Xenopus tropicalis: one gene and its partners. The protein of the gene in region 4 interacts with the protein of the main gene of each other region in a biochemical or structural test. Links are inferred from orthologs where the notes say so. Each region holds a gene or a part of one and is shown on either strand. Other genes may lie near its edges.

Evidence for each region.
Region 1: the proteins of smad3 (region 4) and nedd9 form a complex in vitro, tested with the Homo sapiens proteins (2 studies listed by BioGRID). The link is inferred for Xenopus tropicalis from reciprocal best matches to the Homo sapiens genes SMAD3 and NEDD9.
Region 2: of the proteins of smad3 (region 4) and wwp2, one has a biochemical effect on the other in vitro, tested with the Homo sapiens proteins (2 studies listed by BioGRID). The link is inferred for Xenopus tropicalis from reciprocal best matches to the Homo sapiens genes SMAD3 and WWP2.
Region 3: the proteins of smad3 (region 4) and smurf2 form a complex in vitro, tested with the Homo sapiens proteins (2 studies listed by BioGRID and IntAct, with this or other methods). The link is inferred for Xenopus tropicalis from reciprocal best matches to the Homo sapiens genes SMAD3 and SMURF2.
Region 5: the proteins of smad3 (region 4) and nedd4 interact in a test that uses a peptide from one of them, tested with the Homo sapiens proteins (3 studies listed by BioGRID and IntAct, with this or other methods). The link is inferred for Xenopus tropicalis from reciprocal best matches to the Homo sapiens genes SMAD3 and NEDD4.
Region 6: the proteins of smad3 (region 4) and jun form a complex in vitro, tested with the Homo sapiens proteins (3 studies listed by BioGRID). The link is inferred for Xenopus tropicalis from reciprocal best matches to the Homo sapiens genes SMAD3 and JUN.
Region 7: the proteins of smad3 (region 4) and ski form a complex in vitro, tested with the Homo sapiens proteins (8 studies listed by BioGRID and IntAct). The link is inferred for Xenopus tropicalis from reciprocal best matches to the Homo sapiens genes SMAD3 and SKI.

The regions. Positions count from the first base shown.
Region 1 is NC_030682.2:90,788,457-90,792,681, forward strand, and holds the start of nedd9 (enhancer of filamentation 1), read right to left. Parts: upstream 2,801-4,225; 5' UTR 2,593-2,800; coding exon 2,581-2,592; intron 1-2,580. UniProt on the Homo sapiens protein: Scaffolding protein which plays a central coordinating role for tyrosine-kinase-based signaling related to cell adhesion. As a focal adhesion protein, plays a role in embryonic fibroblast migration.
Region 2 is NC_030680.2:60,884,277-60,887,776, forward strand, and holds part of wwp2 (NEDD4-like E3 ubiquitin-protein ligase WWP2), read right to left. Parts: intron 1,861-3,500; coding exon 1,771-1,860; intron 1,623-1,770; coding exon 1,448-1,622; intron 653-1,447; exon of another isoform or gene 601-652; intron 278-600; coding exon 223-277; intron 1-222. UniProt on the Homo sapiens protein: E3 ubiquitin-protein ligase which accepts ubiquitin from an E2 ubiquitin-conjugating enzyme in the form of a thioester and then directly transfers the ubiquitin to targeted substrates.
Region 3 is NC_030686.2:51,451,021-51,454,520, reverse strand, and holds part of smurf2 (E3 ubiquitin-protein ligase SMURF2), read right to left. Parts: intron 3,086-3,500; coding exon 2,952-3,085; intron 1,950-2,951; coding exon 1,884-1,949; intron 1,331-1,883; coding exon 1,246-1,330; intron 980-1,245; coding exon 896-979; intron 502-895; coding exon 299-501; intron 57-298; coding exon 1-56. UniProt on the Homo sapiens protein: E3 ubiquitin-protein ligase which accepts ubiquitin from an E2 ubiquitin-conjugating enzyme in the form of a thioester and then directly transfers the ubiquitin to targeted substrates.
Region 4 is NC_030679.2:117,418,039-117,421,200, forward strand, and holds part of smad3 (mothers against decapentaplegic homolog 3), read left to right. Parts: intron 1-721; coding exon 722-866; intron 867-3,162. UniProt on the Homo sapiens protein: Receptor-regulated SMAD (R-SMAD) that is an intracellular signal transducer and transcriptional modulator activated by TGF-beta (transforming growth factor) and activin type 1 receptor kinases.
Region 5 is NC_030679.2:100,487,319-100,490,818, forward strand, and holds part of nedd4 (E3 ubiquitin-protein ligase NEDD4), read left to right. Parts: intron 1-884; coding exon 885-1,114; intron 1,115-2,664; coding exon 2,665-2,786; intron 2,787-3,500. UniProt on the Homo sapiens protein: E3 ubiquitin-protein ligase which accepts ubiquitin from an E2 ubiquitin-conjugating enzyme in the form of a thioester and then directly transfers the ubiquitin to targeted substrates. Specifically ubiquitinates 'Lys-63' in target proteins.
Region 6 is NC_030680.2:86,738,427-86,742,508, reverse strand, and holds jun (transcription factor AP-1), read right to left. Parts: upstream 2,668-4,082; 5' UTR 2,163-2,667; coding exon 1,224-2,162; 3' UTR 501-1,223; downstream 1-500. UniProt on the Homo sapiens protein: Transcription factor that recognizes and binds to the AP-1 consensus motif 5'-TGA[GC]TCA-3'.
Region 7 is NC_030683.2:91,255,255-91,259,483, reverse strand, and holds the start of ski (ski oncogene), read left to right. Parts: upstream 1-1,429; 5' UTR 1,430-2,109; coding exon 2,110-3,039; intron 3,040-4,229. UniProt on the Homo sapiens protein: May play a role in terminal differentiation of skeletal muscle cells but not in the determination of cells to the myogenic lineage. Functions as a repressor of TGF-beta signaling.

The DNA of each region.
Region 1 (4,225 bases), on a different chromosome or scaffold from region 4:
AGAGAAACAGCATGTCCTATTACTGCTTGATTTGCTGCTGACAGGCAGTCATTAAGATTGCACAAAGGGGCTGCATTCTTATTATGGAAAGGCAAGTTAATCAGAGCAGCACCTATAGGGACCCAAGAGTGCAGGGGGGCACAGTGTAGCCCTGCCATTTCTAACAATTTTTTTATTTGAATATTTGAATGTAAAATTGGTGAGTTTCCTTTAAGGTTTGGGGTGGGGGTCATGCAATTATTTTGCTATGGGACCTATAACACTGCAACCCCAAGTAAGTTGCCAAAAAAACCTTATGTACCAATTACGATTAGGTATTGTAAACAAATCCTTCAGGTCTAATATAAGCACATTAGAATACTGGTTTAATTCAGCTGGCTTACTGTGCCAGAGGAGAGCTAACAACACCCACTAGAAACACTGTCAGGCTCAGGGAGATTTATGCATTCTACATTAAAATGCTAGATTCCTCTTTATGCAGCCTGTTGCTACATGTGAATTCTGACCTAGCAAAGTTCACAAGTCTCTAGGCAATGGCAGTACATGCATTAATAATTAAAAATGTTTGTTTCCCCTGAGAGTGGAGTGATTCTTTCTTGTGGACTGTGGTACATACAGATTATCCACAAATGTACACTTTATTTCTGGAGTTAAGGTGGCCATACACCAGCAGATCCGCTCGCTTGGCGATGTCGCCAAGCGAGCGGATCTTCCCCCGATATCCCCACCTACGGGTGGGCGATATCGGGGAGCATTTAGGTTAAAAAAAAAATAATCCAATCGTTTGGCCCTGGGGCCAAACGATCGGATTATGTGGGCGGCAATGGGGCAGTCGGATCGGGGACCGCATAAACGAGCCGATGCGGTCCCCAATCCGACCGGATTTTCTAACCTGGCCGATCGAGATCTGGCCAATTTCAGGCCAGATCTCGGTCGGCCAGGCCGCTCTGCTCTCCCCATACACGGGCCAATTAGCTGCCGAATCGGTCCAAGGGACCGATATCGGCAGCTATAGTCGGCCCGTGTATGGGGACCTTTAGCAACAACTGGAGGGCCAGAGGTTGGCAATTCTTAAAATTATAACTATAAATCAGGAGTTACACAGTGTATGTCATTTGTATTTTTCACTTATAATGTTTTCTGTTCAAGGGGTCTATTCTTAGGTTACCCTCTCTGCCCTGCTCTAAATACAGCAGTGGATGAGGTTTAGGGAGTGACAGATAATTGCTGTTATATCCTAATGCAGCTCTCGCTCTGTAAGAGGCTGTTTTTATAAAGGCTGTTTAGGAACTATAATATATTATATAATTATGATGTCATACAAAAAGGGGCTATAATATATAATATAATTATTATGTCATACAAAGAGACTGATGGAACCTTGTAGCAGATTAGGGGCTATAATAAAGTCACATTTAGGACCACATACAGCTTATGGGTCTCAAGGACGACAGTGCTAAGGCATTTTAGACATTAAGAATAGGGTATGCAAAGAAACAAGAATGTGTGCTGTACAAAGAAAGGTCAGAAATGAGCAATACATGTTTCCCAAGGTATTGCTGAACTGCAGCTGAACTGCAACTCCCATAATGCTTAGAGTCACTCTAAAGATGGTATGAGCTGTGACCCAGCAACAGCTGGCTGCTACAATTTCAACATTCAGAACCACTGTGTTTTAAAACAAGGAATCATTGAGCATAAATAAAAGAAGTACTACATCCCACGCACTAAATACAATTTTACTAGAAGCTAAAAATAATCACTTCTAATCAAAGGAACACACAGGGAAAAAACACAAGACATTGTCGTAGGATTACAGTAGCAACAGGTCACCCAGACACCATCACAGTGTGGGGAAAATCATTTCTACTGAAAAAAACTGGGAGAAAATCATTTCTACTGAAAAAAACTGGGAGAAAATAAATGGGATACAATGCATTAGAGTATCTGCCTATTTATTATCCTGTGCCATTTTCTGTATGAAAAGTTCTGAATAGAGAAAGCCTTTGGTCTTGTTAGCATTCACATGAAGGCTTGATGCCTGCAGCGACCATCTCTGGGGCTGGAGTTGTGGCACACAATGAGGGGTTAACCTTTGCCATAATGCCTCATTAAAAAGTCAGACTGCAATCCCTCATTCCCCAAAACACTGCTGGGAGGCATCCAGAGCTGTATCATTAATGAAGAGCAATAACCAGGGCTTGGAGCCTCTCAAATGAGACACTACTGTCTGCTCTGGATTAGTGTGTCCTGTTGGAAGAGAATATAAAGCAGTCTGGCAGTCTCCACCAGCAGTTAAACGCCCTCCCTGCACAGTAAATTTACCATGCAAAATAAGGTCTTGTCTGGGAGAAAGACACATTTTTCCTTAAATTTCACAAAGCCTTAAGTCTAGAGTAAGTCTAGGGAATGTACATGCTCATTAACATGAATATCCTGTGTAATGGAGCCTGCTCACAGCATTATACCCAACTATATACATTGTGGCAGTACATGCAGAATTTACATGTACACGTTGCAGCAGGCAGACAGCAAAGAAAAAGGCTAAATCAGCTACATACAGTTTAGCTATGAACTCACCTTGTACTTCATTCTTGCTGGATCTCCTCTGGGTCCACTTGATAGTTACAGAATCCACATTGGAGAGTTTAAAGCCCAGCGCTAACTCCAGACCAAGGTGTTAGAGTGCGTGGCAGCTATAAGTGGATTTCAAGCAGAAGCAGCAGCAGCAAGCAGACTTCACTGTGGGACCATACAGACCTATCTGAGAGCTGTTTGGGTTTGCTGAGCACAAGCTGGGACAGCTATTTGCATATGGCCTCCCATTAGCCAGGAAGGCTGAAATGAGAACGTGTCACATACTGCTGTTCCCGCCCCTTTAGTGTACTCTGAGCCCAGCAGGCTGAGAGTGTATTGTGTGTGTGCTCATGTCTATATCAGGATTGAGCTTGATTTGCAAGAAATGCCATGTAAAAAAAGAAACTGACTCACATTGCTGCATTGCTTTGACCTGGCAGCAGTCGGAACTTGACATTTTACTTTGAAGCCTAGGAATACAGTATCTCAATAGAAATACTTTGGTTGGGGGCAAAGGTTTGTGGCAAAGGGGTGTGTCTTCCTGCCCGTTCTGACTAGATATATTGTTTATGCTCACTTCGAAACCTCATATATATCCTAGGAACCAATCCTTTTGGAATTTAGATTGAAGGAACTATTGTTGCCCCACAGCAATATTTTGGGGAATGAGGGTGTGCAGTCGGATTTTTTAAAAAGGCTTTATGGCATTAACCCCTCATTGTGTGCCGCAGCTCCAGTGCCAGAGGCATCCAGTGCTACAGGCATCAAGCCATTCATGTAATAAAATAGAGACTAAAGGTGGTCATACACTTTCAGATCCGCTCGCTTGGCGATGTCGCCAAGCGTCCGGATCTTCTACCGATATCCCCCACCTACGGGAGGGCGATATCAGGAGAATCCAGGCTAATTGGGCCAAACGATCGAATTATAACGACGGGTATAGGCAAAGTCAGTTCGGGGACCGCATTAATGAGCTGATGCGGTCCCTGATCCGACTAAATTTTTTAACCTGCCAGATTTCAGGCCAGATATCAGTTGGGCAGGCCCGTCGTTAGTGCCCCTACACGGGCCGATAAGCTGCCAAATTGGTCTAAGGGGCCGATATCGGCAGCTAGAATTGGCCGTGTAGAATCGGCCACCTTAACCTAGAGGCATCTAACAGCAGCCCCTCTGGCATTTGCCAGAATCTACTGATTGCCAGTCTGGTTCTTATGCTTAGAACTTTTCATACAAACAATGACACAAGATAATAAATAGGCAGATGATGCCTTGTATCCCATTTATTTTCTCCCAGTTTTTTTCAGTGGAAATGATTTTCATTGCCCATGCTGTGATGGTGTCTAGGTGACCTGTTGCAACTGTTATCCTATGACACTATTTTGTGGTTTTCCCACCCTGTGTTTGATTATTTTTAAAGCTTGTAGTAAAATTGTATTTAGTGTGTGGGATGTGGTATTTCTTTTTTTATACTTAATGAACCGTGTTTTAAAACACAGTAGTTCTAAATGTTGAAATTGCAGCAGCCAGCTGTTGCTGGGTCACAGCTCATGCCATCTTTAGAGTGACTGTCAGCATTATGAGAGTTTTTTTAAAAGTTTGGCTCAGCAGTCAGAGCTGTAGTTCAAAAACAATGTGGGGGGGGGGTTAC
Region 2 (3,500 bases), on a different chromosome or scaffold from region 4:
CATAGCTAGAAACCTTATTAGGACCAATATAACTATATAATGTATATAAAAAGAAGTAATTTTTTAAATCAGCATATTTTCACATCATACTGAGAGACAATTTCCTATATTCCTATAATAATTATAGACATATAGGACAATCATTTTGTCAGCTGTACAATAATTTATGCAGCTGAAAAGGGTCACACATACAGCTCCATTCAAGAATGCACTTTCACTTACCCCATCCGTTGGGTAGCGGTCCAAGCGGGTCATTGTCAGGAGCAGCAGATGAGGGCTGCAAACAGAGAAACAGCAATGGATAGTGTGAGGGTGTGGGAAAGCAAATAGCTAACTGCAAATTTCCCCCCTAGTGATAGAATGGTTCAAGACATATGACTGCTGGAGTGATAGTGAGCTGAGCAGGAGATGCCATGTGCTCATCAGATGTCCCTAGCTGGACTCAGCACTCACACGTCCGACTTGCTCCTAAACCAGAGGGGAAAATATTGCAGGCCTTTCAAATGAAATCATTCCCACAAGCCACCAGTAAACGCCCAGCTCTTCCCAGCTCTGGGCTTAGATCCTGACCCCCCCACCTCTACACAGACCCCCTCTCACCTCCTCCCCTCCCAATCAAGCCCGTCCCTTGGCAGAGCGGTGTGCAAGAATAACCCAAACTGAAGAACATTCAGCAACTTATAGGCAGAGCTGCACCCCCCTTCCCTTAGATCCTGGCTCACAATGTACCTTTCTTCTCCTGCAGTGAGGAGATGCTTAGTGGGAAGGAGGAGGTGTGTAAAGGGGGGGTGTGAAATTGCTGGGAGGTGCAAAAGGGGCGTGTGGCGTGCTAATGTTTATATAACACCCCCTCTCTGACCAGCTCAGAGGCCTCTAGGGAATGAGGACCAGGCTCCACTGTGGAGAGTTTGTATCAAACCCTAAAAATGTTCTCTTAAAGATAGTAAAACAGCTAATTTAATAAAAACTCTAGCTGTCTGGCGAAGGAGAAGTGGACAGATGCCACGTGCTAAAATAGTTAGGAGGAATGACTTTATATGTTCTAATGTCCTACCAGTCCAAATCCTGTGATTTCACCATTGTGCCCAACAATACAAGTGTTGTCCTTCCCTCTTCCCAAAACTACATTGTTGACATAATGGGCATCTCAGGACAAATTCACAACTCTCTTTGCTAATGCAAAGCATTAAACAGCTTCTCTACCAAAGAAAGGTTAGAATTCTCTTTAGAGACCCATTTCATGCCATTACAGTAGTGTTTATTATGTTTTCAAACTTTTGAATATGCTCTAAAAATTCAGAGCTGTATTAGTAGACAAGAAGCAATTACACTACCACACAAGAACACACAGGTAACAATACCATCATGCAAGGGATGGAAAACCACGTGTATTTTGTGTGGCCTGCCGTTGCTAATTCCTAACCTTTGGGGGCGTCTGCACTCTCACCTGATACAGAAAACGCTGGCTCAGCTGTTGCATGGCACCCTGCATCTGATTCCTCTGTGACTGCCATTGCTCATAGTTCCTGACATATTCTGCTGTGGGCCTCTGCCATGTGGTTGTTCGAGTATTGTGGTCAACATAATAGAAACGACCTCTGTTATCCACACGTTTCTCCCAGCTGCATAAAAGACAAAAAAGCTAGACTGGAGCACTACAGACAAATTTCTAGCTCTGGTGTCTTAACAAGATTACTCCTATAGATATACCACAGAGGCAATGACACAGCTTGGTGGGGTTTACATTAACTGGTATGGTGGGGGTCTTACCCGAGGGGTAAGGGTCTCTCCCACGTAGTGCTCTTGGTGTTATGGTCTACGTAGTAAACCCGTCCATTGCTCAGTTCTCTCTGCTCCCACCTAAAACACAAAGCACAGGACTGACCACTGCACTGTATACAGTGAGTGTGTGGCAGGGGCAGGAAAGGGCAGCACACACCAGGCTTAGAACAGAGTATTAATACATCCACAAATCTGTATTGTAATGGAAGGATGTATTTTGGTTCTGATTTAAAAAATACAAACATTTCCAAGCATGTGGAACTTTAAATACCCAAAGTCACGTGGCAGCTCATTGGTGAATAATTGTTTCAGTGTAAATGTTAAAATCCCTACATTCAGTTCATGTTGAAAATGATGAGTCTCCCATTGGGGAATATGTTTAAAGGACATGGGGTGACAGCAGATATGACCAAGGAAAAAGTTATCTTCTTTTAACATTAACTGTTCTTAGCATTAAAGCCAATGAAAAAAATAAAACAAACAAGTACTAAGGTATCTGCCAAATGTGACCATGCATGTAATCTGTGGAGTGTCTGAAACTGAGGTTTTAACTGGAAGTGTCGTCAGACCAAAGTCTGTAGCACATCCAGCTCCAGTACAGAACTGGCACCAACATCTGAGCCACTCCATACTCTGTCACAGACACTGTGGGTGCCTTGTCTACAGAATCACTGCACACTGTCCCGATAGGACATTTATTTATCCAGACTAACAAAAAGCCTGCATCAGATCAGGCGACAGCGGGTCACTAAATAGGCAACACATAACCAACCAATGCATCTTTCAACAAGACACACACGATGAGGGCTACAACATTAACACAATCACAGCAAGGATTTAGAGGGAAGCATGCAAACATGAAACATTTACAATGTAAGAGAAAAACCGTATGGCATATACATATGCAAACAGTGGCATTTATGGTTACAGTTCCACACTAACACAGGGATATTAAAAAAAGAGTGGGGAGCGACAACCCAGGGAGAAAACACAGGGGAAAAAAGCATGGTTTCTGTTGCCCTGCTGGTACAAGGATTCGGCTTAGCTTGTCCACTCTTAGAATCAGGCACAGTACTACAGATTCACTGCCAAGGAGCCGCTCCTAACTGCAGGAGGAAACCGCAGCCCCTGCGCCAGAGCGACAGACAGAGTCTCTTTGTGTGAGCTGGAGCAGGGAACAGCAGCCAAGACAGAGGAAGAAAGAATTACCTTGCACATAGCACCAGCCATGTACACCTCAGTGACAGAGCTACAGACACACGACACACAAAATCCACATGCACAAAGTTGTGGCTTATTACACAGACCAGAGAAATTCTGTGTGTCATACTACCTTTGTAATGTTTGTGTGTATATATTATCAATAGCCATGCTGTGGCTATCCAGGTGGTGCTGGACTACAACTCCCAGCATTGTCGGTCACACACTGGTTTGGAGGATGCAGTCACTGATAGGTTAGCAATAATTGGAGAGCCAGGGCTTACTTCAAAATCTGTACCAATAAATGTCTGCTGCTGTTTTTGTTTGGCAAAGAAGCTCCGCACCATGTTTGATTCTTTCTATATAACCACTTTGCAGCAGAGATTATGTAGGTCTGGTATTTGTGTTTTAAGATGCGCACACATATACAGATTATGTATATATTATACTTATCTTATGTCACTGGATACTAAATACCAGTTTTCAATGCCCTCAGAGAGTGAGAAAGATACTAGCAT
Region 3 (3,500 bases), on a different chromosome or scaffold from region 4:
GACCCCCGTCTGTGTATGCAGGAAATACACCTGGCCCTGCTGTGTAGTTCTCTGTTCTGTAGACAAAAGTAAAAGGCCATGAAATCACTCATTCTCCCAGACACAAGACAAATAGTATTACACAGCGGTGCACAATGAGACACCGGGAATACCGTTGTGTAGTGCCTGGCCCTACACACTCTTGGTCAAACCAGTGGGATTTCTGCTAGTGAGGGGCGATAGAAGCCCAAATGGGCAGCATGGCCAATAACTGCTTTACCGGTAATGAATAGATTTCTAGATAAACTCTGCAGCTCACCATATCCCTCTGGCAAGTCTGGAGGAGTGTGTAAGTGCGTTCTGCTCATGTAATTCCTGTGCCGCTGGGACCGAACTCGTCTCTCTGCGATGCGGGGGTCTGAGGTTTGCCCACAGGTAGCACCATTGGTCCCGGTTATTGGCGTATTCTCATCCACAAAGCAGCTGAGCGGCCGGCCGGGGCTGGAGTACTCCGACGCAGGCCTACGGATAGGAGACACCGGTCTCAGCACATCTCTAGGCACCAAGTAACAGTTCCCTGTTCTTGAAGCAGCAGCATAGGGTAATGGGAGACTGCAAATTACACAGAAGCAGCACTGGGGCGTGTAAAACTCAAGGATAACTCCAGAGTAACACAAAAGCCACCAAACAGCTCGTATAATCTAGTAATTGCCATATAAAAATGTCAGAAGCCTTTAGCATCCGGCTAAGAAAGGCTTCTATAATAAGGAGACACACCCAAACGCTTGGGGGAGACGTCATATTATTCTAAGACGACACACAGGAGGCTGCTGGACTAACAAGACTGGCTTATTAGAGCCAATGTGGTTCAACAGTGTAACAGAAAGCGGATATTGTATAAACAAGGTTCCATTACCGCGTGGGGCGCTCCCACTGTGTCGTCCTTGTGATGTGATTCAGGTACTGGATGCGGCCAGAGGCAGTCCTCCGCTCTTCCCAGCTAAAGGCAGAAGGGACATAAGTGAATGTACTTAGCAGACAACAGCCATGGCCACAACAAGCCACGACTGCAAAGAAATAAACGGGTCAGCAATTGTGGTGTCCAAAAATCCCCCTTGGCAGCCAAAGCTTTCATCCCAATTCTTCTCCAGACTCGTGTCTGGGCCAATCAAAGCTGCAAAAGGCTAGCAGAGACCACTCATGAGCACATCACGGTCAGTACCCATACTCCTCTATGCCCGTGCCTCTATCCCACGAGAAACTCACCCATCCGGTAGGTCATTGTCGAAAAGCCGGCTGCAGTCGACCACTTGCCCGCCGCTGCCTATCCTGTCTCTGGACTGCAGGCTGACTGCAAAGGCACAACAGACAATTGCACATTAACTTTCTGTAATGAGATGCCCAACTGTGTGTGACTGTCTGTGCCTGAGACTCTCTCACACAGTAACAAAGTCATTATGGGATGTGGAACGTTTAGGGACACTTGCATCCTCTACCTACTGGCCCCCATTATACTCACTGCCCTGCCCGGCATATCTACACTCTATCCGACACTTCTTACCAGATTCCTGGGAATTATTCTTGTGCTGAACACACAATAAATGGTGCTGCATGCTGGTGGCACTGACAGAGGGACAGCTTTGGCTTCAGCTACACTAATTGGCAAGGTCAGGAACCCTGCCGGCAGTCAGTCAGAACTAAGGATATTTACAGAGCCAATCACTGCCCCTTATATTGGCACATCCGACATTATTATCCATTACATAACTCGAGAGAACTGTAACTGCATGGAAAACCTCTGTGCGGTTTCTGTCATAAATGGTATGAAATAAAATGCCACCTCACATCCCCATTTCCTTAGAAATCTGGTCCATGAAATCACAACTTAATTAATATCAACTCACCCACAATCTGCCCTCGCACAGTGTCATTGTCATTGGGACCGAGCTTGCATAGGTCGAGTCTCTGGTCTGGAAAGGACACAAACATACAATCTGGTTACAATGACTTTTGTGCAACGACAGCCACTATCATAAGTTACAGTATCAGGGTATAGCCATACACATACTTCATAGATAGAGGTGGAAGCTGCCATAGTGTTTCCCTTAGACAGTACAGTATGGGGGTACAGCTTATTAAGTGCCCAGAACATTCCCTCTCTGTATATTTGTATTTATACATATGGGTAGGGGGTGCCATAGTGTTTCCCTTAGACAGTACAGTATGGGGATACAGCTTATTGTGTGCCCAGAACATTCCTTCTCTGTATATTTGTATTTATACATATGGGTAGGGGGTGCCGTAGTGTTTCCCTTAGACAGTACAGTATGGGGGTACAGCTTATTGTGTGCCCAGAACATTCCCTCTCTGTATATTTGTATTTATACATATGGGTAGGGGGTGCCATAGTGTTTCCCTTAGACAGTACAGTATGGGGGTACAGCTTATTGTGTGCCCAGAACATTCCCTCTCTGTATATTTGTATTTATACATATGGGTAGGGGGTGCCCTAGTGTTTCCCTTAGACAGTACAGTATGGGGGTACAGCTTATTGTGTGCCCAGAACATTCCTTCTCTGTATATTTGTATTTATACATATGGGTAGGGGGTGCCATAGTGATTCCCTTAGACAGTACAGTATGGGGGTACAGCTTATTGTGTGCCCAGAACATTCCTTCTCTGCATATTTGTAGTTATACATATGGGTAGGAGGTGCCATGTTGCATTAGTGAAGGAATCCTCATTAAGCAGACCACATGACCAGGGCAGTCCCGGATTCAGGTACATATAAATGGATATACAGCAGAACCCCGATTTTAGGCAGGCTGATTTAACATTTTTGTGGAACTGATGTAGTTTCTTGTGGTCCCTGGATGTTACGCAGTTTTGCTGCGATACCAAGGGAAAGGTAAAATCGGGGTTCTACTGGACAGAAGCCTGGCGCCGGGGAGGGGGTGCATGCCCATACTCACAGCCAGTGTCCTTCAGCCGATTAATTGCATTGGAGAGAAGCCGTACGCAGCCCAGGAAGCCAGCACCCTGCTTTTTGTGGATCTTCTTGTGGTTCCAGACACTGATGGTAATGGAGTCAGATTTGCCAATGTAGCTAAAATGGGGCAGAGAGGAGCAGCTCATTAGGGAAACGACAGGAAAGCACAGAGATTGGGGTTCTGTAGGGGGGCACAGAGATTGGGGTTCTGTAGGGGAGCACAGAGATTGGGGTTCTGTAGGGGGGCACAGAGATTGGGGTTCTGTAGGGGGGCACAGAGATTGGGGTTCTGTAGGGGAGCACAGAGATTGGGGTTCTGTAGGGGAGCACAGAGATTGGGGTTCTGTAGGGGGGCACAGAGATTGGGGTTCTGTAGGGGGCACAGAGATTGGGGTTCTGTAGGGGGGCACAGAGATTGGGGTTCTGTAGGGGAGCACAGAGATTGGGGTTCTGTAGGGGGGCACAGAGATTGGGGTTCTGTAGGGGGGCACAGAGATTGGGGTTCTGTAGGGGGGCACAGAGATTGAGGTTC
Region 4 (3,162 bases):
CCAAGTCTGATCTCTTTTATACTAGACATACATAATCAAGTGCACATTGCAGACTGTACTGGCTTCTAAGCACCAAGGCCACATACATGTGAGCAGATTGCTGATCAGTAATACAGTATGTGGATTTTATATGTGCTCAGTATCAACACACAAGGGGGCGGATTTATCAAAATGTGAGTTTAGAGCTCAATACATAAAAACTCACCTGTGTTCTATTCATTCCTATGGGATTTTTAAAAGGGTATTTATCAATAGGTGAAATTTAGAACTCACAATTTGATAAATACACTTCCAAAACCCCATAGGAATGAATAGAACGTGGGTGAGTTTTTATGTATTGAGCTCTAAACTCACATTTTGATAAATCTGCCCAAGGTGTCAGTACTATTAGAGGCATATCAAACCTTCAGCTATTCAGCATCCTGGTGTTTAAACCTGCAATAACGTGCAGCCTGGGTATTTAGAATGGTTGAGAAAGGTTCAAAACAGCTGCAGGGCCTGTCAGTCTCCAGCACTGGCTTTAGGCTGAGATCCTGTTGGAAATATGGAATGTAAACGTACATTAATTTCCCCATCTTTCAAAAAGTGCAAGAAGTATTCAGTTACACCTTTCTAAACATACTTGAATGATACAACATAGCTGAACAAGCAAAGTGTAAATGTGGGTAACAGCATTTCAAAGACTGTGTAATATTAAAACAATTTGTTTATTTTTGTGCAGGCTGTAACCTGAAGATATTTAATAACCAGGAGTTTGCTGCTCTTTTGGCTCAGTCAGTAAATCAAGGCTTTGAGGCTGTGTATCAGCTCACTAGGATGTGCACCATACGCATGAGTTTTGTCAAGGGCTGGGGAGCCGAATACAGGTTGGTGTTAAAGAAGCCACATTTTGCCTCTATCTTGGTCTTTTTGCTATCCTTATTTGTTAACAGTAGGTTTGTGCTGTTTGTAGCATTGCTGTAAGTCATAACCTCCAGAGGGTGAGCATAGTGTGGATGTTAGATGTAGTTTATACATGGTATAGCATTGTATAAAGTACTTGGTCCTTTTGACAAAGACCAGACTGTTCACAGTGCTATTAATGTAAGCTCCTGCCCAGGGTGCATTTAAAGGGGTAAAGATAGAGCTATAAACAGTTTTTCCCCAGTTCCAGCATCCTTTCCCCAAAGATAAATACCCAGTGCCATATTTGTTTTTAAAATTTTCGTGTGGATCTGCATTGATTGAGTATTGGCCTTGCATTTCTCATTAAGTTAGTTAATTCACACCACTAGTGGTAGTCCACAGCATGCAGGAAAACATAAAAAGGTGTGATAGTTGAAGAGTAGTTACCAGCAAACCTGGTAATGTTTCTGACTGGAGTACTGTTCATCTTGATATTTTGTACATTAGCATTATGTAGCATGTTTTGAACTGCAGTCTTTACAGAAGAATTGTCTTAAATTGTTAATAAAAAGCCATGGCATGGTTTCAGCACTTCTGATCAAGCTTCCTGCAAGAATCAGCAAACAGCAAATGTATAGGGAACTCCTAGGAAAGGTGAACATAGAAAAGCCCATGCTGCTTAACCCAAGGAAAGAGAATCATAGAAAAGCTAATGCTGCTCAACCCAAGGAGAGAGGATCATAGAAAAGCTAGTGCTGCTCAACCCAAGGAGAGAGGAACATAGAAAAGCTAGTGCTGCTCAACCCAAGGAGAGAGGAACATAGAAAAACCCATGCTGCTTAACCCAAGGAGAGAGGAACATAGAAAAGCCCATGCTGCTTAACCCAAGGAGAGGGGAACATAGAAAAGCCCATGCTGCTCAACCCAAGGAGAGAGGAACATAGAAAAGCTAGTGCTGCTCAACCCAAGGAGAGAGGAACATAGAAAAACCCATGCTGCTTAACCCAAGGAGAGAGGAACATATAAAAGCCCATGCTGCTCAACCCAAGGAAAGAGGAACATAGAAAAGCCCATGCTGCTTAACCCAAGGAGAGGGGAACATAGAAAAGCCCATGCTGCTCAACCCAAGTAGAGAGGATCATAGAAAAGCTAGTGCTGCTCAACCCAAGGAGAGAGGAACATAGAAAAGCTAGTGCTGCTCAACCCAAGGAGACAGGATCATAGAAAAGCTAGTGCTGCTCAACCCAAGGAGAGAGGAACATAGAAAAGCCCATGCTGCTCAGTCCAAGGAGAGAGTAACATAGAAAAGCCCATGCTGCTCAACCCAAGGAAAGAGGAACATAGAAAAGCCCATGCTGCTCAACCCAAGGAAAGAGGATCATAGAAAAGCCCGTGCTGCTCAACCCAAGGAAAGAGGAACATAGAAAAGCTAATGCTGCTCAACCCAACAAGAGAGGAACATAGAAAAGCCCATGCTGCTCAATCCAAGGAAAGGGGATCATAGAAAAGCCGCCCATGCTGCTCAACCCAAGGAAAGAGGATCATAGAAAAGCCGCCCATGCTGCTCAGCCCAAGGAGAGAGGAACATAGAAAAGCCCATGCTGCTCAACCCAAGCAAAGAGAAACATAGAAAAGCTAATGCTGCTCAGTCCAAGGAGAGAGGAACATAGAAAAGCCCATGCTGCTCACCCCATGGAAAGAGAAACATAGAAAAGCTAATGCTGCTCAACCCAAGGAAAGAGAAATATAGAAAAGCTAATGCTGCTCAACCCAAGGAAAGAGAAACATAGAAAAGCTAATGCTGCTCAGTCCAAGGAGAGAGGAATATAGAAAAGCCCATGCTGCTCAGCCCAAGGAAAGAGGATAATAGAAAAGCTAATGCTGCTCAGCCCAACAAGAGAGGAACATAGAAAAGCTAGTCCTGCTCAACCCAACAAGAGAAGAACATAGAAAAGCCCATGCTGCTCAACCCAAGGAAAGAGGAACATAGAAAAGCTAATGCTGCTCAATCCAACAAGAGAGGAACATAGAAAAGCCCATGCTGCTCAACCCAAGGAAAGAGTATCATAGAAAAGCCGCCCATGCTGCTCAACCCAAGGAAAGAGGATCATAGAAAAGCTGCCCATGCTGCTCAGCCCAAGGAGAGAGGAACATAGAAAAGCCCATGCTGCTCAACCCAAGGAAAGAGAAACATAGAAAAGCTAATGCTGCTCAGCCCAAGGAGAGAGGAACATAGAAAAGCCCATGCTGCTCAACCCAAGGAAAGAGAAACATAGA
Region 5 (3,500 bases), about 17 Mb from region 4:
CGTGAATGTGTACATAAAAGTATATTTGGTAATGTAGAATTGTGTTGAAACAATTTGAAAATTGTCAGTAACTGTTTCTGCATGCATGGAGGAGTGTATTTCCTAATGCTTACCTGTCACAAAATTGTATTCCTGTTATGCTCAATGCTGAGATTCTTGCTAGCTTTATTAGAAGTACATCCTTACACAGTACATGACTACACTGTGCTCCATAGTTTTTTCTTTACAAAGATCATAGCATTATACTGTATTCGCTTTCTCTGATTTTAGTAATCATTATGTACTACATCTGTTTAATTATGTTAAAGTGCAACCAGGCTGTAGATATGTAAACAGTAGAAGTTTGCTAACCACAGTCCAGAAATGAAGGCTTATCCCATAAAACATTTTTACTTGAGCTGCATCATCTTTTTATACCTATTGTATTTTTCTGAATTAGCTCCAGTTCCAGATTCAAGTATAATTTTGGCTTTTTGTGCCATGGCCATTAGAAGTTTAAAAAGAAAAGATAATTCCAATTTAAATGTATTAAAAAATATTAGTGCTTTAAAAGTTATTTGTAAATGTAATTGCTATAGAAAGCAGCATTTGCTGAACTCCATGTTGTTACTTTTTAAACAGTGTTGCAAGTGCCAGGCTCCTCCAGCAAGTCAGGTCTGTAAAATCTGCTGCCTTGTGTTACATTGTTTCAAACGCCAGAGCCACTAGGGCAGAGTATAGAAAGGACAGGCAGATACTCCTTAATAGCAGTTATATATACAAATAACTAAAAGTTCTCTTTTATAAGGCAAACAATTATTACTACGGCAACATATCCTCCCAACCTTCCACTATTTCTGGGAAATTTGGAAAAATAAAATATGATGATTTATTTTTCCCATCAGATTGATATTCCAAATAGGTTTGAAATGAAGTTACGTCGTACAGCCATTCTTGAAGATTCCTATAGAAGGATTATAGCTGTAAAAAGGCCAGAGTTTCTCAAGGCACGTCTTTGGATAGAGTTTGATAATGAGAAAGGCTTGGACTATGGAGGAGTGGCCAGAGAATGGTTCTTCTTGATTTCTAAAGAAATGTTCAATCCTTATTATGGTCTGTTTGAATATTCTGCCACGTAAGTATATTCAGTGACAGTTTGCAGTTATGTATAAAACAATGTATGCATTCTGACAGTTGCTAGGAACACAGTGGTTGTGAATTCCAGAGGTTCTGAAACACTGGATATATATATATTTCTGGTTCTTAATTTGTAAATATGGCAGGCCCTGTATGATAATTATTTATGATATGCTTAACCCTATGGGATAGCATAGAATTATCTTTATTTTCATCTAGCTTGTTTAGGGTGATTCTTTAGAAAAGCTCTGCCCATCTGCCCTCCATTGGCCCCCTCACCTCTCCCAGCCCACGCAGTCTATGTAATAAAAAAGTGCCCCTGTTTGAACAACTTAAATAAAAATGCAGTGCAACACAGTGGAAATTGCAGGCACCATCTTCACTCCCTTTTGATCCTTTTCGCGTCTCTTTGCCGGAACTGAGCTTGTAGAAGTATGCAAAAGGATCAGAAGGGAGTGAAGATGTGCCTGCAACCTCTGCCATGCTGCACTGTATTTTTATTTCAGTTATTCAAACAGGGGCAATTTTCTATAAAATAGACTACAGGGTGGAGAGGTGGAGGGACTGATGGAGGACAGATGAGCAGGGCTTTTCTATACAGGGGGGGGGTTTGTTCTGCATGCATGGCACATAACCATATATTTTATTTAAAAAAAAAAAACATTGTAGGAACAAAAACTGAAAGTAAACCATATTTGTAAATAGGTTATATTTTACTTATAGTATTTCAGTTTTGTGATTATCTATTGTCACACAAGTTCACAAGACTAATGCCGCTCTCACTATAATATACAAATTTCACTCAGAATAAAAACAGTCAATTTATTTTTATATTATTAAAAAAAAAAAAAAAACAAGAAAGGTGCTAGTGAGGAGTGGAGTGAAATGCATATTAGTTAGTCCTATAAATGGGCTCTAGTGGGTTTGTTTTAAATTCCTGCTGCTGCTTCCTGTAACATTATACCAGTAATTGCTTTGAGATTCCTATACTAAAATAGCTTACTACTTATTTTATTTTATAAAGATTATTTGGGAACTTGGACATTTGTTTTTTATAATGAAAAATCTGACTTGGCAAGATTTTTTTATTTTACTTGGTTAAAAGTTTGAATTGTATTCCAAAGTATTGAAATAAGCAGCATTGTGTAGTAATGCAATAAATTCTGAACCTGAAGAGCATTTTCCAAATACTAGATTATAAACTCAGGCAATGAGGGATGAATATACATGTCTTTAAAATGTTTTTTCACTCTATATAGGAAGAATAAAAAGTAAAAAAGAGAAGTTTCTGGCAGTGTCCCTGCTACCAGAAGAATAGTTAAAGACAGTTTTTCAAAGAGTTGATTTCATACTTACCACTGTAGGAAGTAAAGAGACACTTATTTGTCATCATTTAAATGATGTTTCTTCTGGAATGTTTTCCACTGAAACTTTTTTATGAATGTAACTTATTTATTACATTATGTTGATAACTTAGGCAGCTTTTTCAAAAGATTTTCATTGTTTAGCCATATGTTTTTTTTTTAACTTATTTCATTGTTTTAACAGGGACAACTATACTTTACAAATTAATCCTAATTCTGGTCTGTGTAATGAAGATCACCTTTCGTATTTCAAGTTTATAGGCCGCGTGGCTGGAATGGCAGTATACCATGGAAAGCTTCTTGATGGTTGGTTTTATTCTATGTAACTCAAAATGAAGTCCCGACAATCATGTTAACAATTAAATCTCACTGCAGGTTAGGGGCAGATTTCATAAAATCAGATTCTCAGCTACAGATTAGCAGTGCCATGTTGCACAAGGGCTGCTTGCTGAAATTCACTTATGCTGTAGAGCAGGGGTGGGCATAATTTTTGGCTCAGGGGCCACATTGACTGAAAATTTGACAGACGGGCTGGGCCAGCTTTACACCATTTCCGCTCGTCAGTCCCCAGACGCCAAGTCTCGCGTGATGAGACTTGCGGAGTTGGAGGGCAAGATAAAAAAGACCAACGGGCCGGACGTGGCCCATGGGTTGTAGTTTGCCCACCCCTGCTGTAGAGCTTTAATGCATGGTTGTAAGAGAAAAGAAGCAAATGTAAATTATGGAGTTTTTTCTTTTTAGATATACCAAATCTTTGGTAACTCTGCAGCCAATGCCTATGATATAGCCATGTAATGATAGAAAATACTTTTACATGTCTAGAACATGTAAAATAACATTTCTTTAGAGTAACCAACAAGCTGTTGTTGTTGTTGCTTTTATTAGCTGATGTGCTTTTGGGAAGTCATCCAGTCTGACATTAGCGTGACATCACAGCACTTTTTAAACCGATGATAGTATCCCTTTAATGCAAATCAAACTGTCTGTTATTAAAGCTGGATTTATACTGTATCTAGACTT
Region 6 (4,082 bases), on a different chromosome or scaffold from region 4:
TCACACCTCTTGTGTTTCCCAGTAGCACCTTAAGAAACAAGGACTCTAAAATGCTACAGTTTAATAAATTAGTTGGTATATTCTCATCAGTAGCTACTTTAGTTACTACTACTATATCAATTTGTTACACTTTTCTTTTTTCAATAAACTTAGGAAAAGCAACTATTTATCAATTTGTAAAATTGAAGAGGGCTGGCAACCAGTTGGTATTTGTGGTGCACAATTTGGAAATGATTATTTAGCCAATAAGGCTGGAGAATACTGTAAACCATTCCTAACCCCTCAAACATATAATAACAGCAGCAAACTCTTGCCAAAAGCCCAGAACTTTATAATAGCATATATAAATAACCCCAAGTGCTATGATATAAAGAAAATATTGGTCAGTATGTTCTTTTCTGCTTTTACTTTTATATTGCCCAATACCCATATCAAATAATTGTCAAAATATAATACCCTTGAATAGACTCATGCAATATATCAAGTACTATACACAGGAGATAGTTTAACATGCACGTTTATTGCAGTGTAAAAAAAAATATCAATATAAATAAAAAAATCTAATTTCCACATCTTTTATTTAATATCTTAAATATAATTGAACGTCTGGAATTGTCCTTAGAAACAAAAACATAGAAAATTATTATACTTTATTACAAATGGTAAACTCAAGAGTGCTCAATATCTCTTATTTACAGAAAGTAGTGGGTTTATTAACCCAAACATAAAAATAACTTACAAATGCTTGAAGCAATTTTACTGAAATAATTCAGTTTTTCTTAATATTATAATAAAAAAAACAAATATGTACACATACACAGTTATGTAGAAGGCAGGCAGATTTGTCATTAATTTTACTTTTCAATGTCCCGTATGCCTCCCTCCCACACCCTCCCTTTGTAAGAAAACTACGGAAGCAATCTAGTGTCTCTAGCAGTTTAACCTTTTCTTAATACTGAATGATCATCGAATGTTAGGTCCATGCAGGTCTTGGTCAATGTTAAACATGTATCTGATGTTTCATTAGAGCAGGAACAGCACTTGACAAGTGATACTGCTTGTTGCATTGCCACAGGCTCCACCTAAAGGCTTGTCAGGACTCCCCGCACACGCACGTAGAACAGTCAGGTCTCAGTGCCTTTCATTTTGAGCCAGGGAGTTTCAACATGAAACTATTTCCCTCCACAAAATAATTCTCACATCTCTTTCCCAAAGAAGCCTTTTCAGAATGTTTGCATCTGCTGTGTTAACATTAGCTGACACCCACTGTTGACATGATTCATGACTTTTTGTTTGAGCTGGGCTACTTGCTCTCTAAGCATGTTGGCAGTGGATGCCAGTTCAGAGTTCTGGGATTTTAAGTTTTTAACTTTGTCTTCCAACCTGGAAATCCTCTCCAGTTTCCTTTTTCTGCATTTAGATGCTGCGATTCTATTCCTCATACGCTTCCTTTCAGCCTTTATCCTTTCCTGGGACTCCATGTCAATAGGGGACAGTGGAGGAGTCTCCCCAGGCATTTCAGGTACAGTCTGTGGTTCCTCTTTCAGAGCCTGTAACCTGGGGTGCTGCACGGGTATTGGTGGGTTACTCTGATGTTGGCCGGTATACCCCATGGTGTTGCTGTTAAAAGGCGATGATGTGGTGATGGTACTTGGGTTAAAGTTACTTAGATTGGCATACACAGGGGGCTCGTTGTGAAGACTATTGTTGAAGCCAGTGTTTCCAGCAATAGTAGATACAGGTGTCAGTCCCGTGCTGGCAGGTTGGGTGGCAGTGGTTACACTTGGCAAGTTGTTTTGATGGTGGAGTTCTGCCAGTGCCCTAACAAACCCCTCTGCAAAGCCTTCTTGCTCGTCTGTGACATTCTTGGGGCACAGGAACTGGGTGGGGGTCGGGGTGGTGGTAATCATGCCATTGCTGGACTGGATGATAAGCCTCTCCAACTCCGGGGAGGCGAGCTTGAGAAGCCCAACATCAGGGGAGGTGAGCAGTTCAGCTGCCTTGTTTCTCAGGTGAGGTTTGATGGCGCTGCTGGGGTCCGACAGGTTCAGGGTCATGCTTTGCTTCAGCACCTTGTTGTAACCATAGGGAGTAGCATCGTGCTGGGCGAAAGCAGCACTCAGGGCATCTTCGTAGAAAGTAGGTTCCATCCTTGCAGTCATAGAACGGATGCCGGACAGGGACGATGACTGGACCTTACGTTAGTGTGACACCAGCACCAGCCTAGAGAGAAGAGCGAACAGGTTGTTAGCTGACACACCGAACCCCATGGCACCTCCACCCCTCTTCTAAATGGAACTTATGCTTCGCCTGCCGAACTACAACTGGCAGTGTCCCGTAGTGAGAGTTCAAGCACAACTGCTCCCAGCCTGGCACATAACAGAAATAAATGCGACTTACTTTGTGTCTCTAGCAGCAAAGAGGTCCTCGTACTCCGAACGCCACAAAAGTTCTTATAAACTCCCGGGAAAGTTTCCAAAGCGCCGCCGGAGATATGTAATGGCGAGCGCTGGGTGTGTGCGTGTGCCCAGTATAGGTGTCAGGCACACGGACACAAGGAAGAAGTCACTGAGAAGTTAGACGTTCCTTCTCCCCAAGCGCCACAAGTGCTGTCAGTGTGAGCTCTACTCACTTGTACTGGGCTGTGGGACAGCGTGCAGCTAACACTTATCTGCGAGCGGTCACCCACTAAAAATAGACATGATGTCACCCCAACGTCCTGCTATTGGTTGAGCCTTGGGAAGGGAGGCGGGCCAGCGAGGCCAAATGAGCCTCGGTCGCTATGACGACCGCCCTAGAAGATTCTAACTCTCGCGAAGGCTCATGGGATGAGGTAATGCTCCTTTGCCGCTGGGCATTGTGGGCTGACGTATTGTTGTTGGCGGTGCCCGTTCCTTGCTTTGGTAGTTGGGATGGTAGTTTGACGTGGGTTTCCCGCCATAAGGGCTGTTCCGCTCACCCCCTGGTACTGGACAGGGGCTTGAGGCAATTGTATGGTAGTCGTAAGCCGCGGAGGAGACTCATCCCTTTCCTAGCAAAGCGCGATATGGTTGTAATGGTTGTCTGTCACATAAGGAACCGGAGGACTTGGGCTGTGTTTGTCGGCTGGTGAAACTGAAAACTCAGAGTTGAAACAGATTATTTCCACAGGTTTAAGCGATCAGTATGGCAGGTTTTTCAATATGTTGTTTGTTAGTTGCCGAACTAAAATGTGGTAGTGGTTGCTGGGAGTTGTAGTTTTGAAACAACTGGTTATTTTCGGTAGAATGTTATTAGTGTGGTATAGTTTTACTGGCTTTATAGTTATTGTTCTCTTCGCTGTTTTACTTTGTGTAGGACACGGGGGAGACCAAGTTGCAGCCCTCCGGCCATTGCGGGTCCGTGTGTGGGGGTGGGGCTGTATGTGACTAGGAGTTCAACAAGAGCTTGAGGATCGCAACATTGCATAGATACACCAGTGTCAGTGACAGAGAACATGTAAGGCTGTATAGCATCATTGTTATTAAAAGGGTCCCAGTGTTGTGTAGGCATGTGCTACATTCTAATGATCATGCCTTTCTGCACTGGGGTGGATAGCCAGGGAGAAAAGGTGAGGGAAAGTTTTTTTTTTTTTTTTTTTTTTTTTTTTTTTTTTTTTAATTTGGTGGGGGAGGGAGTTTATTGGTGGGTGGGTGTGTAGATTATGATGTGGGCGTTGATGAAAGTAAAAAAAGGATGATTGGAAGCAGGGTGAAGGAGGTAGGGGGAGCGCTGGGGAGGCTTAAAAAGTTTACAGGAGATCAGGTTGCATCCATGAGAACGGAGACTGGCTTTTATGGGTAGAGAGCAGGCAGGCTATTTGGTTTATCACCAAAGTGAATAGAAAATCCTTAGAAATTGATAGAGATCTTGAGTATTAAACCCACTCTTAACAGCTGCTGAGCTACAGCTTCCATGATACCCAGCCATTCCTCCACAGAGGATAGTTCCCTAACTGAGTTGGACATCTTTCATGAAGAGCTGCTGAAAGTGTTAAATAGCAACATTTCTTTTTTGTATATCCACATGGTACAGGAAAACATTAAGAGAAACCATAATGTAAG
Region 7 (4,229 bases), on a different chromosome or scaffold from region 4:
ATTAACAACCACCCTCTGTACCCGATCCTGTAGCCAGTTTTCTATCCATGTGCAAATGACTTCACTAAGACCAATAGACCTTAGCTTAGAAAGCAGTCATTTGTGTGGAACGGTGTCAAATGCTTTGGCAAAATCCAAATAGATTATATCTACTGCATCCCCACTGTCCAGCTTCTTACTTACCTCATCATAAAAAGCAATTAAATTGGTCTGACATGACCTGTCCTTCATAAAGCCATGCTGATTACTGCTCATAATGGCATTCTCCACTACATAATTTTGAATGTGATCCCTTAACAAGCCTTCAAATAACTTGCCCACTACGGATGTCAAACTTACAGGCCTATAATTGCCAGGCTGAGATCTTACTCCCTTTTTAAATATAGGCATGACATTCGCCTTCTTCTAATCGGTGGCCATTCATGCAAAGATCTGCTTGTTTATTATTGCCCACCTTGAGGTGGGCAATAATGAACTGTAATGCAGGCCTTCGGGTGAGGACCACATCAACAAGCCAAAAAACTATCCGTCCAATTTTCGCCCAGATATTGGTAGGGCAGGCCCTTTGGAGGGTCTTATACGTGGACAGAAAAGCTGCCATCTCAGTCTGAAGGGGCAGAATCTGCCCATGTATACACAGAAAGGTAGTCTACAGAAAGGTATTTTTGGATGTGTTTTTTTTTATCCGCAGGCAAAAAAATGCCCCATGTGCCAGTTCCCTAAATGTCATGCAGTCATGGGGCATGACAAGCACTGGACAAGTTTGCATACAGGCGTTTTTATTCATCCTTTTTTTTCCTATGTGCCCAGGCATGTACCATTGCCATGCATTTTCTAGCAGTTGGCTTGGCATTGTGTGGCCCTGCATATTAATAGTGAGTGTGATATTCTGTGCCTGTGCAAGTTTAAAGACTTTAAAGATTTAAAATGTACCCCAAATTATTATTATTATTAACATTTATTTATAAAGCGCCAACATATTCCGCAGCGCTGTACAATAAGTGGGTTTCATACATTGGGCATACAGAGTAACATATAAAGCAATCAATAACCGATACAAGAGGTGAAGAGAGCCCTGCCCAAAAGAGCTTACAATCTACAAATTGAAACTTTATATATTTGTATGTGAAAAAAGAGACAGATAAAAGGACAGTATATAAATATATGGCAGGAAAAATAATAGCCTTATGTGGGGGAATAGTTGAGAATTACCTTTTCACCTTTTGTATAGCATTATCCCCTTGCATTCTCTGTTTATTGAAAAAAGAAAAAAAAACACCCTTCCTCTTTTGTAGCCAATGGTTTTACGCATGAGAAACACGAGATTTATTTTGCCTTCGACAGACAAGTTTTTTTTTTCCGCTTTGCAGTAGAAAAAAAAAAAAAAAAAAAAAAAAAGGCAGCAGCAGCGGCAGCAGAAGGAGGAGGGAGGGGGTGGAGGTTGTTCCTGGAAGAGCCACAGCCTGGGGAGTTGGTCACATTCTTGGCTGGGATTCAATGACTGAGGCAGACACCAACAAACAGAGAGAAAGGGGGTGGAGAAGGGAGAGGAAGAGGGGAGGGAATGAGGGAGGGGGAGCGCAGAGCGCAGACAGGGTGCATGAGGCAGGAGGCATTCAGGCAGTGAACAGCACCGGGAAGGCAGCAGCCTGTGTGTATGGGAGGCAGAGCCGAGCTCTCCCCTAACCTCCAGCAGAGCAACATGAAGGGGAACTCGTGAGCCGGAGCCGCTGCTGTCCCGCCCGCAACTTCCCACAAACGCAGCCGCAGCCCCCTCCCCCCTGGGTACTGAGGGAAAGTTCAGCCGCGTTTGTGCCTCCTCAGCGGAAAGTGACAGGGACTCGGAGTTAGTGAGCTGGCTGGGACGCTATGGGCAGGAGGAGCCCATCTCGGCACTGAGCAGCTCCCAGCTGGATGAAGCGCTGTGAGTGGCAAGGGATAGCCCAGGAGAGAGTGGGCACAGCACGGCTATATGGAGGCTCAGAGAGCCCACTGAGCGCCACTGTGGATTGAGAGTAAAGCCCAAAGGCAGCGATCGATTGACCTGCGCGGAACTTGCCCCAGTGAGTGTGAGTGGCTGCTCCGAGTAGTGTCGGGGAGCTTTCAGGCATGGAGACCGTGAGCCGGAGCAGCTTCCAGCCCCATCCCGGGCTCCAGAAGACCCTGGAACAGTTCCACCTGAGCTCCATGAGCTCTCTGGGCGGCCCGGCCGCCTTCTCAGCCCGCTGGGCTCAGGACATGTACAAGAAGGAGAGCGGCAAGGAGCCCCCGGAGCCCGTTCTACATTTACCCAGCCAGCCGCCCCCAGTCATCCCCGGGGGGCCCCTCTTCATGCCCTCAGACCGCTCCACGGAGAGGTGCGAGACTATTCTGGAGGGGGAGACAATCTCTTGCTTTGTGGTCGGAGGCGAGAAGCGCCTGTGTCTGCCCCAGATCCTCAATTCGGTGCTGCGGGACTTCAGCCTGCAACAGATCAACGCCGTGTGCGACGAGCTACACGTGTATTGCTCCCGCTGTACGGCCGACCAGCTGGAGATCCTCAAGGTGATGGGCATCCTGCCCTTCTCGGCGCCCTCCTGTGGCCTCATCACCAAGACGGACGCGGAGCGGCTGTGCAACGCCCTGCTGTATGGGGGCAGCTACCCGCCCCGCTGCGCCAAGAAGAGCGACTTCCCGCCGGGACCCTTAGAGCTGGAGCTGACCGAGAGCAGTTTCAGGGTGTACCATGAGTGCTTCGGCAAGTGCCGGGGCCTGTTCGTGCCCGAGCTGTACGGCCACCCCAGCGCCCCCTGCATCCAGTGCCTGGACTGCCGCCTCATGTATCCCCCGCACAAGTTCGTGGTGCACTCGCATAAGGCGCTGGAGAACCGGACTTGCCACTGGGGCTTCGACTCGGCCAACTGGAGGGCCTACATCTTGCTGGCCCGGGATAACCCCGGGGCCGGGGGAGAGGAGGAGCAGGCTAGGCTGAGCCGGCTGCTGGAGGAGATGAAGGAGAAGTTCGACTACAGCAACAAGTACAAGAGGAAAGCAGCCAGGGTGAGTAAGTGGGGTGGCTACAGGTAGCCTTCATTACCTGGCCAGCTTGCTTTGGTCTGTTTCTTTGTCTTATCTGAGGGCTAAACCATAGACTTTAGTAGCGGTGTGCTACTAGCCACTTTTCCAACAGCAGTTATTCCCAGAGAGAAATTTTCTTTTCAATAAAAGATTACTTGAAAAGTTTAGTTGCTTTACCCCAGGAGCTGTAGAGTTAAAAACCTTACGGTACCAACAAGGTGATGGGAATTGCGGGTGTGTTTTTCTTTGGCTTGAATAATGGTATGTCTTAAATTGTGGCCTGTTGGTGCTGTGTATTTCTGCGGCTGGCCCGCTAATTTCTGGGCATGTGCCCAGCTGTGCCATTGCCTTACGTGTGCCTCAAAACTTTGTACCCTCCCAAGCAACTGTATTTTGTATGGAAAGTATTCTGCAATATTGCAGGAATTGACTTGGTTGTTAATCCTTTATCCCATAAAAGTAAAGCCGTTAGATACTGCCTGGGTAAGCATATATAGTGAGCGTTCTTGGCATTGGCAATTGCCAGCGCATGGTTGATCAACATTACTGAATGTCGCCCCCATTTCCAGCTGATAGGGAGATGAAGACAAAACTTACATACAGAGTAGAACAGGAATCGCACAGTGGGTACTCCCAAGCTACGCTGGCGTCTGTTCCTTTAACTGAGAGCAAGAGATCTATGGCCATGCTTGGAAAGGTAATTAGGCGACAGGGAAGAGCACATCACCCTGTAAGTGGCATTTAAAGTGACCTGATGGTAACCCTGCTTCAAGTTCAGTGCTGATCCCGCGGATGATACTTGGTGCTCTTTATAGCTGCATCTCTTGGTTACAGCAGGCTATGGAGATAAGTCGTACATTTGCAGATCTGACAATTTTGTATGTATGTACTAAACAGGTGCAGACAGTTTACATCCCCTTCCCCCCATCCTAGTGCCTGCCTATGTAGCTTTAAAGGTGTTGACATGTCAACTTCGGCTTCAAGTGCGGACGAGCCGTTCTGTGAGCCGCCTTCCTCTTACCTTGATCTTTGTACCCTTTGGGTTTTCTTGTTACTCTTGGAAATGTGTCATTAGTTTATATGTTACATATAGAATGTACGCTTCTTTGCCAGTGAATTGCTGTAGCCTAGGTGCTTGGATAGAAGTCGTACTATATTTGGGTACGTTGCCA